Linked DNA regions of Kluyveromyces lactis. The protein of the gene in region 1 purifies or fractionates together with the protein of each later gene. This does not show direct contact. Links are inferred from orthologs where the notes say so. Each region holds a gene or a part of one and is shown on either strand. Other genes may lie near its edges.

What was found. Proteins that work in one complex are often made in the same cells at the same time.
Region 2: the proteins of CAF130 (region 1) and POP2 purify together in Saccharomyces cerevisiae (affinity purification with mass spectrometry; 4 studies listed by BioGRID). This does not show direct contact. The link is inferred for Kluyveromyces lactis from reciprocal best matches to the Saccharomyces cerevisiae genes CAF130 and POP2.

What each region holds. Positions count from the first base shown.
Region 1 is NC_006041.1:357,258-365,407, forward strand, and holds CAF130 (CCR4-NOT core subunit CAF130), read right to left. Parts: upstream 5,137-8,150; coding exon 1,738-5,136; downstream 1-1,737. Other genes in the region: PRE9 (proteasome core particle subunit alpha 3), read right to left, coding at 1-32; URN1 (Urn1p), read left to right, coding at 438-1,745; SUE1 (Sue1p), read left to right, coding at 6,143-6,718; KLLA0_E04005g (RidA family protein), read right to left, coding at 7,218-7,631; PEX4 (E2 ubiquitin-protein ligase peroxin 4), read right to left, coding at 7,862-8,150. UniProt on the Saccharomyces cerevisiae protein: Acts as a component of the CCR4-NOT core complex, which in the nucleus seems to be a general transcription factor, and in the cytoplasm the major mRNA deadenylase involved in mRNA turnover.
Region 2 is NC_006039.1:1,667,095-1,674,924, forward strand, and holds POP2 (CCR4-NOT core DEDD family RNase subunit POP2), read right to left. Parts: upstream 3,897-7,830; coding exon 2,553-3,896; downstream 1-2,552. Other genes in the region: BRE5 (Bre5p), read right to left, coding at 220-1,701; putative GTPase NOG2, read right to left, coding at 4,351-5,085, 5,566-6,372; RNA-binding ATPase activator ESF2, read right to left, coding at 6,742-7,623. UniProt on the Saccharomyces cerevisiae protein: Acts as a probably catalytic component of the CCR4-NOT core complex, which in the nucleus seems to be a general transcription factor, and in the cytoplasm the major mRNA deadenylase involved in mRNA turnover.

The DNA of each region.
Region 1 (8,150 bases):
GTTGTTCTCGAATCGTATCTTCTGGACCCCATCTGTTCTGACTTCTTAGTTGTTCTTTATATTCTCACAGACCAATTACCTGTACGCTCACAGAAATGCTCTTGCTGCTACTTTCGATGAACTTTAGCTACAAGTTTAACTATCTGGTTGAATCCAATTGCTGTTCAATCTCTAGTTTCAAAGGTTTGCCACTGGATTTCTTCTAACTTTGATTGTATTTTATTTCATTTTAAAGGTCGACATTAAAAAAAAAATAAAAGAACGAACCTTTGTTTAACGGCTCTTCAATGGATTTTCTTAGTGAGAACAACCCAGTGTACGAGGTGGAAGACCTGTCTCAGAGATGTTATTTGCATTGCTGCACCTGTCTGTGAAAGTAAAGTTTTAAAGTTTTAACTAAATTGGCGGAGAGCCCATTGTTCCTATCTGAATCAAGTATGAGCGAATGGAAGCGATTTAAAGATCCTTCGGGGAATTTCTACTACTTCAATACGAGGTCCAAGGTATCCACAAAGGAAAAACCAAAAGAGTTCGGAAGCCAGCAAGCTGGTATGAAGGAATTGAGAGTGCCAGTGTTCTGTTTACCTCTACGAAACTACTGGAACCTAGTGATTTGTAAAGATGGTTCCAAATTCTTTCACAACGATGAATCTAATGTGTCCCAATTCAAACTGGCGGATGATGAGAGTAAAGCTTTGTTGGATAAAGTTGATACATCTCTTCTTGCATTGCTTATAGGTGTAGCACGAGGGTTCAATCTTCGAAATGACCGTGACGTTTATGGAGAGATCAGAGATGTTTTACAAGCAAAACTCGACAGTAACGACAAAGAACAAAACGATATCACTGAGGAGAGACCACAAGTAACAAATTCTAACGTGGACACGGAAGATAAATCCGAATCGAGTAATATTTTAGTTTCTGGTTACTCTTCCTCATCAGATGATTCTGGTGAAGAATCAGAGGTAGAAGAAAAGAATGATCCATCTTCTATAGATGTTAAAGAAGAGGATACGCTACCGTCGTTGAATAACACGGAAATAGAATCTAAGTTCATTCAATTACTTAATGAAATTCAACTAGATCCTTACTCAACTTGGTCGATCCAAGCAAAGCGGATAATGCATGATCCACGCTATTATTTGATTACTTCTAATGACAAACGGGATGAACTATTTCAAACGTGGTGCTCTCAACAGCTCAATAATTCAAATAATGATAATGAAAATAATGCACAAGATTCAGCTGAAAACTCAGATGAAGAAGATTCAGACGTTACTCTAGAACCAACAAAGTATCACTACTTGGCACACATTATTTCAAAAGCGAATATCACTCCTGAAACCCTATTCTCTAATATCAAGAAAGAAAATAAATCTCTTTTCAAAGAACTGGAAATCAATAAAACTCTTACCAAGAAAGAACAAGAACAGTTTGCTTCCAAGGTAATCGCCTATTACAAAAGAATGGATAACCTACAGCGCACTGAATTATTCAAAAAGATGATGAAAAATAAACTTCGGTTTCCTCCGATATCGGAAAAGTTATCGCAGTTGATGCTAGAAGAGACACCGTCGGACTCTTTTAAGTTAGAAACTCAACTACTTCAATTGGAGAACGCGCTACTTATTCTTGATAATCTTCAAAATTCCTACATGCAAAATGAAATTATGTACTATATTCTGGGTATCAAAGACAAACTAGCCGCTCTGAAAGAAATACTACGAGATCAGTATTCTAAATAGACATTTCATCACACTCTTCCTCTGCTTCTTGCTGCCGAGCTTCTAATATGTCTAAGTAATCAATATCAAAGACCGCCAAAAATTCTCTATGCAATGATTGATGCGTTCTGATGTCCAGTGGCAGAATATGATCGTGGTACTCCAAAGTTATCCTTCCGTGAATAGGAGTTCCTTCAGTCAAAGGATATTTCTGAAGAAGGTGACGGAAAACTTTGTCAACAGGCTGTCCATCAAGAGATTGAACTGGTAGCATTCTGGAGAACCTTTCAGACATAATGGACGTCTTATCACCATTCTCAATGCTTGTATCAGTCTCCGTATCCCATCTGTCATCTATGTCACTTAGTTTTAATTTATCAAAATCTACTGGCAAAAGCTGATCATCAGGGTCAGTATTTGGCCGATCATCTAACCCCTCGGTCCCTAGATCAAGAACTTTCCCTAAAGCCTTCGATTTCAAAAGAGCATACATGGAACATGCTTCAGCAGAAAACGTCGACCATTGCATCAAAAACCTTTTTAATTCGTAAACGTAATCTTCATGTGGAACAAACTCGAATTCCTTATCGTTTAATACTTCTTCTAAAATGAAACACACCATCTTTACTTTCCCAGACATCTCAGCCTTACGCGATGTTGCAGAGAAGAACTCCTCACCATAATCATCTACATACACTTTTGAAGGATTTTTAATTGAAAAAGCTTCAAAACCCGCATCATTATACTCACCTAGCAGTCCTGAAGACACACCCACGAAAAATTCTTGTAGCAACATTTTTTTCTCAATTGCAGAAAGTTCAATAACTCCTTGTCTAGAGAATTCAATTGCAGCAACCCTTTCGAATTCTCCAGTGGGTGTCCAGCTAAGAATCCCCAATTGTTTGTTCTTAGTCGATTCTAAATCATAACTCCTGGCAGGATTGCCTCTTAGACCGAATAACAACTCATACACGTAATGGATGGACGAGAAAGTGTACGACCTATGTGTCAAGTGATAGATTAAGAGCCTTCTGTGCCCATGGCTCATCATCAACTCATCGAAGATTTTCCACCCTAAGCTATCATTGCAGCCTGAAAATGGAAAAGGCTTTATAATTCCTCCATCATCATTAAAAATTGCCGTAATAACTTCATCAGTAGAAAAAGGAAGCACTTTCAAATCTACCTCTGCAGAAGTGGCCGTAATTAATTTCAGTAGAATTTGTTCTTGTTCTAGCTTCACACATGTTGCAATACTTCTCAATACCGTACAGGCTTGAGAAAACGTTACGTTTCTATCTGGTAATCGTCTCAACAACTCAAAGAGAGAAACTTTGTCCAACTTAGACAAAAATTGGTAATCATCCATATAATATAGATTTAATCCACGAGGTATATCCCTCCAATCATCACCGTTTTTATCATAACCTGTTGTAAGATGAGAAACGAAATCATTTTGAGAGTCTCTGTGCGTCATTAAAGATGTGAAAGCAACAGCATTGCTACTTTCGCTAAACGTTTGAGGGGTTTCAGCTTCATTGATCTGCCCATTCTCATCCAATCCAACAACGCTTTTTTCACCATTATAGTCATCATCATCGTCATCGTCATCATCGTCATCATTGTCGTCTTCATCACTAAACTTGCAAAGGCAGCGCTTGTAGAGTCCCCTAAGCATTCTGAATCTATTTTTCTGTTCGAGTTCATTTTTAGTAGATGTAAACATAAGCTTACCATCTGTTAGCTTACTTGTATCTGCATCATTGTAATCAAAGTACTCATAATCAAACATATATCTGACATCTTCATCAATTCTATCTCCTTTTTGTATATCAGTCAATAATTCAACAATTTCGTCATAATCCATACCTGATGGTAGGAGTGCTGCGAAATAATACATTTCATATGTGTAAAGAGCCCCGTTGCATAATTTCCTTCCATGAGGAGACATGAACCCACCAAAAGGTTGATGTTTAAAATCGTGCAACTTCTCATCCACATGACCGTTGAGAATCGTTGCGATAATTGAGCGCAACGCAGAAGCTCCACGAATGACTGCACTAACAATTACTGGAGTACCATATAGCATCTGCATTTCCTCAAACCTATCTATTTGCAAACCTAACACTAATGCTGAACTTAAACCTCTCCATGCTCGAAGCATCATAGGTAAGAATGGGTTCAACCTCGGCGGCTTATCAGAGTGCATCTTGTGCATCGAATAGAAAGATAATCCTGCAATCATATAAAGAATTTCCATTTCGGGCGGAGAAAGATCGTATGGGATCCACGATGTCATGTATTTAGGGTATGCATCAGGGCTTCTTGCTTGGATATCTTTCAAATTGTCTAGAGATCTATAATCCCAAATCTGCAACATCTGCAAAATAGCCAATGTAATAGTTTCCAAATTTGCGCTCAAATGAATTTTCCAGACTTTCTGGTAATTGGGTATCAGTTTAACAATATAAGCAGTCAAAGAACCTAGATACAGGTCATGCAATAAATCCAATGAAATTATATGAGAATCGTTTGGAGGAGGTTGAGTCATGGGATCCGCAAATAAGCAAAGTGAGTTAAATTGCTCTGCAAGGAGTGGATGAGGCTCTTTGTGTAACCCAAGCTTAAAAAACAAATTAAATCGATCAGATTTGCCATTCAAGTTTAACGGATTGTGATCATCTTGTTTTGACAACGGTGGATTATTATGCCCAGAATTCTTTCCGTATGATTCTAGTGAATTCAGCCGTATATCGCCAGTTTTCAACTGAGAGAGAGCACGAACCATATCATTACCAAAATTCCCTAGAGTAGATAAAAAAGTAGAATTACGTTCTAAAATTGTAGTTGGAGATTCTGCATGTGATGTGGACTGCGGAGGGGTAAACCATTGGTAAGAACCATTAAATTCATACAATCGGTTGTATTTCATTAGACATTGCAAAAACTGCGAGCCGTCAAGTTTCTTAAGAACACTTTCTATCAAAGGCTTAGCATTATGCAAATAATCTAGTAAAATGTTGGATGTATCCCATAGTGGTGCAGTGAATTTGGGGTCCTGATTCGTGAGAAGAAATCTCATAGCCATTTTAAACGACTGATCTGAATACCTCTCTAAATCGATATGATCCGTTTCATTCCTTAAAACCCACCCTAGAAATAATGACAAAATATGCTTATCAGTTGCCCAAGTACCGAAAAGTGCCACCCAGTAGGGATCGTTCATTCGTATCAGACACTCAACCCCATCAACGTCATTTGTTCGTTTGGCATCATTAATCAATTGTGTGACAACCGCTTGTCCAGGAACCGTGGTAAAAAGAGCAATGACGAGTTTTTCTAACAGTACGCTCTCATCAACATCCGAATCGGCCAAAAATAATCGCTGAACAGAACTCTTTTCCTGTAGCATGGTAAATTGGAATGCGTATGCAAATTACACGGCGCTAGAGAAAAGGGTTTTCTCTATAGTCCAGAAGAGTGAGTCTTAAAACAAAACAAACGACCGATACCAGGGTAAGCAGTAGCAGCTCTTCCGTTCGTTCCTCTTCACTGACTCAGTTAAGTCCAGCTCAATCCTCTAAAAGTACACCCAGCTTCATTTCATTCGATCTCTCATCCCACCTCATCTCATGTTAGAACATAAACTATAATAGTATTATAACATTTGATATCTGTAAATGTGTTTTTCAAAAAAAAAAAAAAGATGGGTTCCTCCAAAAAAGTTCAGTAACGTGATATTCACGTGAATATCACATTCCTTTAAACATTTGTAATACACCCACACACCCGCCCCGAGATACCAATCCTTGATCCGATATCGCCGAGAGCACCAGCTAACACTGCATATACCGTTAGCCGGTTTTTGCATTTCTTTACTTAGTTTTTCAGAATTTGGCTAATCTCAATTCTCACCCATAAACTGAGCTAGAAACACGCGTGGTACCCGAAGGTTTGCCCGCTATTTCCCCCAGAATGTTTGAGTCTTACACAAGAAAAACCAGGGGTGTGTGAAGTCTTATTTAGACACATAGTGACATAGTGTGAAAACGAGTCGGATTGACTCGGTGAGCAACGTATGACATATGCGGTTTCATCATCCTTTGATCTGACATATATAAAATGAGTATATATAGTTCAAGGGTTTAACGCTTGGATTATCGTCTCGAAATTGATTACTTAGTTGCTTTAAGTATTTAAGTATGTGAAATTACGTGATTTTCCTAAAGCTCGGTGGATTAATATTTTCAGAGGAAACAGGGGATTAAATCGTTTATCGGAAATATCGTGTTTTCTTGTCAGACTATTTAAAAGCAAGGTCTGATAACGTACTGTCGGACAAATAAGAATCTAAACAGGTTTTACTATCTAGTTGAAAGCATCAAAGCATCGAAAAAGTATAATACAACCATAGGAAAATGCCATTTCCAAAGTCCAAAGCCACACAAATGTATAGACAGCTTCCTCGCGTGCCAACGACAAGGTTTCTTGCGCCACAAGAACTCACGGCTGACATTTTGTTCAGCGGATACAGGCCTATTGTGTCTCCGCTGAGGGATAACCCGCTATTCCAAGCGAAAGTGAAGGAACTAGAAGTGGAAAGGGAGAAGAATGGGGGAGGTAAACTAAAGTCTAAGGCAGCTTTCGCATCCGAACCAGAACATCCATTCATGGCCGGTCCCAACGGGACCGGAGGGATCTTATCTGGGGGCGTGAACGGGACGTGGCGTTATAATCCACGGATACCAAACAAGTTGTTACAAAGCGCTCTTTGGTCCAGTAGTGCAATGGGGATGGAGTTCTACCCTGAATGGAACGATGTACCTAATAAAGTATCTGCAAGTTTGAAACCTTATCAGTTGGATCAACCACAGGATAAGAAGATGACCTTGAAGTTCCCACCAAAACAGACAGATGAACTTTCCGACGAGAAGTCGGTAGATCAATACGAAGAAGTGGTTCAAGAGTATCTACAGCAGTGGAAGCTGAAATAATGCACTTTATTTTGGGAATGGACTGATCCTACCCCATCGCTGCATACATTAAACCTATCATTCAATTCACCGTTTTAGAGGAAAGCTGGTCTTAACTTTGGAAAACTCATTAATTCTTATCAATCGGATACCACAAATATACACATAAACAAGCTGCAGGCTCAAGTCTCATCCGGTGCCCTTCTATTTTTTTCTTCCTAATTATTACAATTCAATGCTCTTCACATCGCAGCAACCTTATTCGACATCTTACTTGATTCGGACACTACACGCCGTTCACCTTGTACTTTCACCCTGTGCCATGGTAATTGAATTTGCTTTTCAGTTATTATGGCATAGATTGGATTAAGAACATTCGTAAATTTCCCAGCAAAGTCTGTTCTTTAAACATATATTCGTTAACATATAGTATAATTAACATGCTATAGAGGCATATATATAATAGGCTTTTCCACCACAGTTTTTGGAACGCAAAGCCCGGAAAATCTAAACCCCGCCTTCACAACTTGAACCATCTTTTCTTGGATGGAATCTCAGCGATACATTCTAATTCGACTTTCAATTTATTGTTGGGGAATGCAACGACAATGCACGATCTAGCAGGTTGATTAGGGAAGAATTCTTTGAAAACTTTGTTAACGATACCAGCGTAACTACCATCGGAAACGAACAGCAAGATTTTCAAGACCGAATCAACAGAAGATCCAGATACTTCAAGCACTTTCTTCAAATTGATCATGGAATTTCTAGCCTGTTGTTCCAAATCCTCAGGTAGTTCATTGGTAACAGGATCTGTACCAACACAACCACTACTGAATAGTAACTGATTCCCCGATTCTGTAGCGAACCCAGGTGAAATTAATGGGAACCCGTCCTTAACCCCAACGTCTTTCCATGTAATCTTTCTAGCCATTTCTCTTTCGATAATCAAGTGTCTCCACCCCGCGAACAATAGGGAAGCTAGGCAAAAAGAAAGTACTAAGTCAAAGTAACATACATTTGTGTATAAAACATGTACAAAGGAATATAAGTTGCATCATTTCCATCATTTAATCCTTTTTCAATCATTCCTATTCAATTTCACTGCAAGGAAAAATGAAAAATCCAGCCATGTTGCTGTGTATTTCTACGTAAAAGTCGTACTCAAACGCGTGCCAACCGCGCCTCCTCAAGTCTATACCTAACAATCTGCACGTAGGCTTCATAGTCAGCATCGTATATCTGGGCAATGTCTAGATCTAGTGGCGAGTCCAAACCAGGGTCTGCCAACAAATCTCTTATAGCTCCAACAACATCTAGCAAGGTATATATCGGGGTCCATGCATCTTTCAAAAGATCTAGGCAAATCTCGCCCGTGTCCCACTTCACGTTAGGGTGAGCCACGGTACGTGGCTCAAACAGAACCCGAGGACCGCCACTGATCGGATACTTT
Region 2 (7,830 bases), on another chromosome or scaffold:
CAACAATAATGTTTCGGTGATATGCTTATAGTGAGAGGGAAATATATAAAATGTACATGTGGATAGGTTACATACGGATATATTTAACAAGTTTTCCCCGACTCATAGTTTCATCGTTTTAGTTAATTTTTTTTATGGTTTTTTTTTTTATAATATGGTTTTATCACGCCTTTCATTTAGGTTTGAGATGATTTGGGTTTACGATTAAAGTACATGAGATTAGTTCTTTGATTTGTCATTACGGGATTTCACTGAGCTCTTTTTAAGCGTGGAATTACCTTGGTTTAACGAGAGTTCTGGTGATGGGGAATTATGTGAACTGTTGCCGTTTGTGTTGTGATTAGTGTTACCAGAATTACTATTACTATTGTTGCTGTTGTTCTTGGCTTTGTACTTAGAAGCTTTATCGCCCTTTGGGTTTAAATTAATAACTCTTTCACCGACTTTTAAATGTTGAGCATCGATGGCAGCGTCTCTTGCAGGTTTTTCTCTGAAATCAACCACAGCGAACGAATCTTGGAATGAGGTTTTTACGACATCACCGTATTCTTTTATTAGAGCTCTTTCAAGTTCGGATGCGGTCAACCCATTTGTGTTACCCACGTATACTGGGTAGAAACCGCTGCTGTTTTGGATGATAACGTCGCCTATTGGTTTCGATTGCTGCTTGCTTTTCTTGTTTGACTTGGTGAATCCGTTTGGAGGTGGACTTTTAGACTTCTTTTGTGGAAGATCTACCTTGATGTAGTTTGTAGTTAGTTTAGATGTCTTGTTGAGTTTGCCTGCCCAAGTCATTTTCACTGGTTCAGCCTTTGGGGTGACTTCTGTTTCAGGAACCTCTTGTGGGGGCACCGATTCAGAACGGGTTGTCGTTGAGGTTGGGGTGGCTGATGCTGAAGTCGCTTGCTCTTTTGGTTGTGCTTGTGCTTCGTCTTCCTTGTCTTCTTTTTCTTTTTCTGCAATAGCAGCAGGAGCAGTAGCTGGCGCAATCGCCTCATTTTCCTTAGGTTTAGTTTTATTTACTGAAACGGCTTGGGGTTGTTCCACTTTTGTTTCCGTTGGAGCAGTAGAGGGCTGTTGCTTCTCAGTTGGAATTGGCTTGACAATCTCAACCGGTTTCGCTGCTGCCTTTACCACTACTGGAGAAACAGATACAGGAACAGAAACAGGAGCTGCGTCCCCGTTGACATTTGGCTTCTCATTCTCAGCTTCAACAACAACAGCAGATGGTGGTGATACTGGCTGGTCTGGGTTCACTAATGGAGCAAGGTCAGGAATGAAACGAATGATATCGTTTTTCAAATCGTAGACTTTACTGTTATACTCTGCTGGTTCCAGGATAAAGCACTGACAAAATCTGTAAGATGGTGAATCCGTCCAGCATAGCTCCCCTAATATCAATATCAGAATCGAAGAACTCTCGTACCCAGTAGATTGCACATCACACGAATCAATCTTGACCTTCAAATCCTGTACACGCTTGCTGTTTCTGGTAAAGAAATTGTTGATGTTATCCTTACCAATCAACTTGACGGTGTTTAAATAATCTTTGTCATGCTTGATAGGTTCATTATAATTCACATGGGTCAATTCCGCCGTGGTAGAATATAAACACGACAATTTCGATGGATCATTATGCATACGTTCATAGTACGTCCTTAGGAACGCATATCCGATCTCTTTCACATCGTAAGTGGTCATATTTTCCAAACCAAATGTGATTGTATCAAATTAATCTAAACAGGAAAAAACACACTGGTTCTTGTAAAAGAATTCAACTATTCTTTGATAACTCTCAATTTCAAACCGATCGCGGGTATCAAAAAATCAAATTGGAATGCTAAAGTGTATGAAATGAATGCAATACAGTCAATCGTTGTCAATCAGAAAGACCTTTGAATGAATTAAAAATAAAACTGTCAAACAAAAAAAAAAAAAAGAAGGGAAAAGCACGCTCTAATAACGCTCTAACAACGTTTTAATCCAAGTGTATTAACGGTGGATATTCAAGCAGGAAAGTATAGGGTATACTAGAATACAATAACAAAAAAGTATTAATTTCCTATGGGTGCTTTTTTCCAGACTCACGGGAAATTTCAGCACTACGAACACCGTATATGTGCCTCACGCTTCAAACTTATCGCTAAAGATTAAAGTCTGGTTTCTAATGAATGCATGAAAACCGATAAGCGAACCAAATAGACACCCTAACAACAAGAAACGCCCCTCACAAGCAAAGTATGTGCATGTTTGCATCTAGTGATTATATGTAAAGAGTCAATTTTCAAAATTTTTTAATGGAAAACTCGTCAATCATCTTATGAAATCATGCCTCACGAGATGCCAGGTGAATGAAGTACACAGGTTGCGCTCTTGCAACCTGTGGGTTTCGCACTGGTCAGCATCAGTTCAGTTCAGTGACGGTGGCTAGTCAGCCACCTTTTATACCCTATTTTAAGAATGATTGTGTATGTATATATATATATTCACATACATAAATGCATTATTGATGATACTCTATATGAAAGGCTGGCACATAAAAATCACATATATTACTCCTGTGTGATTCCGTAGATCAGGTTCTTGTAGTAACTGAAATCTGTTCCATTGCGTAGTTTGTACAAAGACAATTTACCGAGTTGGGTGTATGCCAATAGTGCCAAGAGACTTTGTCCCGCTGCGCTGCTGAACAATGGGAAGATCGGAATCCCCAACTCGTCAGCCAGTAGTTCTAGTGTATATTGCTGTTGTTGGTTTTGTTGCTGTTGCTGTTGACTTTGTAATAGATGTAATGGTGGTGGATGTGGGTGTTGTTGCGTTACCTCATGAACTAACTTGTTAATTAGGTTCAAATCGTACGACGTTGGTATGTATTTCTGAACCCACCATTCGAAGTCCTCTTTGTTGTTGGGCATGTTTGTGTTCATGAGCCTGTTGATTAAGAACCCGTAATCGTATGCTGCATGGTAACTGATCCACGTGACCTCATCGTTCAACAATAACCCGGAATCCATCATCAACTGAGCAAACTCGTCGAAATCAACACCGTTCTGTTGATGTCTCTCCAAGATGACACCGGATTTCTTTAATAGTTCTAACGATTCCGAATTCACGGTCTCCTTTGTTACGTCGAAATGGAAGTTGAATTGCCATGTGGATGGGAAGTTGTCTGGTTTATTCCCCTGTAAATCGCTTAACGAAAGTCCAATCTGGATTGGGGTTAGTAGATCCACGTTGGATCTCATCGTCTGGTAATGGTAATCTGTCTTTGAGCGGAAATTCCCAATGGGTCTCGCTATCGTACCGACAAACTCGGTGCTTATAGAAATAACTTTGTATTGCTCGATCATTTTACGGATTATGGCAAACTCGAAGTTTACGTTGTTTTGCCACACTTCTCTGATCAAAAGATGCGCTGGAGACGAGATTGGCGTATGAGATGCATTAGGTAATGGTGTTGTATCAAGCCCGTTCACGTTTCCCATTGCCTGTTGTTGTACCGGCATTGGAAATTGCATCTGCTGTGGAATCGTATTGTTATTAGAGTTACCACCGGAAATGCTGTTCTGCATCATCATAGGAACTTGCCCATTATTCGGCAACGGCATTTTTCCCGGTTGCTGCTGCTGCTGTAAGTTGTTTTGCTGCCCAAAAGCACTGTTTACCACATCCATCTTCTGTTTCAACAAGTACGAATTTTGAAGACCCCCATTGTTCTCAAGCCCATGCAGCACATGTGGTTGTTGCGACTGTTGAGGCATCATACGAGTACTATTCATAGAAGGGGAGAAAAGCATCCCGTTCATCCCAACTGGCCCTTGCTGCTGAACAGCGCCCTTCCCGAAAAATTGCTCCGAATTTGGCAATCCTCCGAGCTGACTATTAAGAGATTGCATTAAAATTCTATCGTACTTACTGGAGTAGTCCTAAATGACAACTCTTAAATCAGAATTGAATCGTATTCCAACCATATATGTCTCTGTCTCTTCCTTATCTAATGCTAAAGGCTTTCCTGTTTCGTTCCTCTTTGGCAGAAACAGAATTTTCGAGGGAAATGTCATTGTGTACGGTGTTGATATTACCACTGGCACCACTTCTCAATGGACAGTGGACCCGAATGGGTCCATTGTCCAGTGTTTCTGCCCCTGATCTGCATGCTTCACAACGTTCGGTGTTATCCAGCCTTTCTACTATTTATTTAATAAATTTCTATGTGCAAGACTTAGCCTAAGTCATCCGATTGATATTAATGTACAAAAACGATAGATCCGATAAGATTGTATATGGTGTGTCTATATATAAAGCGATGCCCGTGTCTGGAGAGAATTAAATATTGAGGAAGTGTTTGGTTTATTCCTTTTTGGCCTTTTTAGAAACAGGTTCTTCTTGTTCCTCTTGCTCCTTCTCTTCCTCTTCTTGATCTTCTTGATTTTCCTCTGCAGGACGTTTCTTATCACCAGGTTCCTTTTCCTCAATCTTGTCCTTCTCTGGTGGTGGTACGAACCATGGGATCTTACCTCTGTTGAAATCGTTCAAGATTTGTTTCGATACCCCGCTTTCATCTGGTTCACCACCTTTCAATAGTCTACCTTGCTTTCTTGCAATCATTTCGATGAAATCTACAGAGTCTTTCCATCCGGAGATCTCATAGGTTCTTTCCAAATGTTGTCTCTTACAACGTTTTAGAATACCTGGAATGTATTGTTCAGGATGCGAAACGTGTTCAACTCTTACCACACCTCTGAATAGAATATCCTCTTCACTGTCCTTGCTGGATGGCGGTACAATACCGGGACAATCGATTAAAAAGATTCTCTTCATCAAAGTTATGTATTGCCACACCTTAGTTTCACCAGGAATAGGTGCCACTTGACAGACCTTCTTTTTCCTTAGAGTGTTGATGATTGAGGATTTACCGGTGTTTGGATATCCAATGAACCCAACAGAGATTTGATGTCTGTCCTTATGCAGTTGTGAGAATTGACGTAGAAGTTGAATTAACGAACCCTTACCAAATGAATTGGTAATAGAGGCATGGAATGCCAATGTGGGACGTTCCTTCGATAGATGTTTTACCCATGCTGCCTGTTGAGAATCAAAAATAGGGAAAATCGTGTTAGTAAAATTGTAATCACATATGTGAATCAATAACCAATTATGCTTTCTACTGGGGGTTGACTCCATGCTGTATTGAGTATATTAGTGGTGATGTGAGGTTCTTTACTACGAGCCATGGCATAATAATTCTTTTCAGATCCAAAGCTCAACTCTTAAGTTCCTCCGTACCCGAAATAAAAGCGCTGATATATCCTCAAAACGAAGATTGTTCAACTAGGTTTCAACCATGACTCCATCAAAACGATGGATAGATCGAGGGTGGGTAGTATTGCTCTTCCAAAACTGTAACAGGCCCTTCTGTATGTGTAAGTTGTACTAGAATGTACGCAGAAACACCCTGACAAAGAATTTTGGTATTCTCAAGATACTGTGGTATTCACTCCCAGTTAGAAAGTATAATCGGTTAGTAGTAATCACTGAAGATTAAAAAGAAAGTTTAAAACATACGGCAACCCATGTAGGAACAAGATCACACTTGTTCAAGACGTATATCAAATGTTTATGAGGAGTCTCATTGGTCATGTAATCAGTCACCGATTTACAACGAGTCCCCAAAGGATCTCTAGCATCCAATACGTGGATGACGACATCGGAGGAATCGATAACCTTGTACAATTCGTTCCAAATACGTTTCGACTGACCTTTGTGGAAAATGGCTTCCTTTGCTGCCTGCGTCCAACCGTCTTCTTCCTCTTGCTTACCCATAAGCCCCAGAGTAGAATCCAATTCTTGCTTTTCTTCAAAAGTCTTATTATCGGTAGAAGTACTTGAAATCAACTCTTCCAACGACGACGCAGCGATTCTTGGTTTCTTCCTCTGAGCCTTAGGCCCAAAAGTTTGTTCAAAGGGCTCTGTCTCCAAAATCTTTGCCGTTGGAGATTCAGCGGAATCCTTTTCGTTCAACAACGACATCGGAAGTTTATTTCTTCTCAATAGCACCTGATAAGAATCACGCTTGTTCTCGCCCAAAGCTTCTCTGAAATGGCTCAATGAATCCTGAGAAATAACTCTGGTATTACCAAACCATCTACGGTCAGGAGCCACTCTTGCTGTTGGAGCAGCAGTATCCTGCAACGGAGCAGCCTTGATAATGTCACCCTTTGCATTACGAACAGATCTACCACCTTTGTACATGTTCAAAAACTGCACTCTCTTGGTGTCCCTGTAGAAATTCTCACCCTTCACACGAAGGTTACCATCCTTGGTATTACCTTCGCGGATTCTCCTTTGCTTTTCCTTCTTACCGGTACCCATTGTGCCTTGGTATAGATTTCAATTAGGTTTCCTTTGGTTCGTTCGTTTGTTCGTTCTTTGTGGTAACGAACACGTTCAATTTCGATCGAAAACTCAAACAGATGGAAGAATAAGTAACTGAATGTCTCTTGCCTGGACTGAGATCAACCTGAATCGAAACAAACCACTGATGAACCTGCCTTTGTTCCTGTTCCAATTCATGAGATGAGATGAGATGAGCTGGAAAATTTTTTCTTTTCACTTTTTCTTACACTATGGGAATGAAAAAGAAACCTGATCTTTGACCATGGGAATGGCAGGCGATGAGTTGTACTCTCTGTAGGGCTTTTGGCTTGGCTATATGCTTTATATATGTGTTATATAGTCATCTTAGAATAAACTATGCATGACATCGTTGAGTGCTTTCGATTGCGGTTGGGATTGTCTCTGAGAATCTGGAGCAGATGCTCTTGTCGAAGCGACTTTCCTCTGTTTGAAAGTCCTGCGAACTTCTTCATCGACCTGCTGTGATTCTTGTTGGTTACGTTTCTTGCTCTGTTTCATCTTGTTGACCATCTTTGATTTCTCTACGTTATGGATGAACTCTGCGTTCAACTTGTTGGCCTGTGAGATTTCCAATTGTAGCTTTGCTTGTCTGATATCGTTTTCTCTAGCGATTTGTTCTGTCAAATCGGCCCATTTGAACCCGGGCAAGTATTTAACGTTCATGACGTCGTCATGGTAGAAATTTCCCTTCTTACCACCGATAATATTACCGTTTAGAGTCGATGCGCACAGTTTAGCGTCCTTCTTTCTGATAAACTCGGCCCAACCTTCTTCAAACATCGTTTTCTTGTTCCCACCACTCTTGACACGCTGCTGGTGCTTGTGCTCCTCTTCACGTTTCAAGAACAGACGGTCCACTTCACCGAATCTTGTGAGAATCTGCCTTAGCTTGGCTGGTTTCATGTACGGTGGAACCCTCGATAGGTAAACCACACCGGTCTTGTGTTTCGTCTTCTTATCGCTCTTAAGCTTTTTGAGTCGTCTCTGCTTTTCTTTCTCTATCTGCTGTTCTGTGAGTTGTACTACCTTATCCTCCGGTTCTTCTTCATCCTGTACTTCCTCGTCCTCTTCCTCTTGCTCTTCCTCGTCCTCTTCTTGATCAAACTGAATCACATTCTTCTTCGCATCCTTCCCAGTGATCAACACTTGGTTGTCCTCTTCTTCGTCTGACGCAAAATCATCCACATCGCTGTACTCCTTGCTCATCGTGTTATTGTTGTCCTTAGTTAACCTGCTGAACCTTGTGGTCTGTTGTCTCTTCTCTCATGTATATGGTTCATCTCATCTCATCTCATCTCATCGCTTTAGTTCCAAATTTTTCAGTATGGCACTCACTGTACAGAAGAAATGGGAACCAATCGTACTGGACGACGGACCGATACCACAATGAAGTAACGGGTCTGTAGCCGGTGT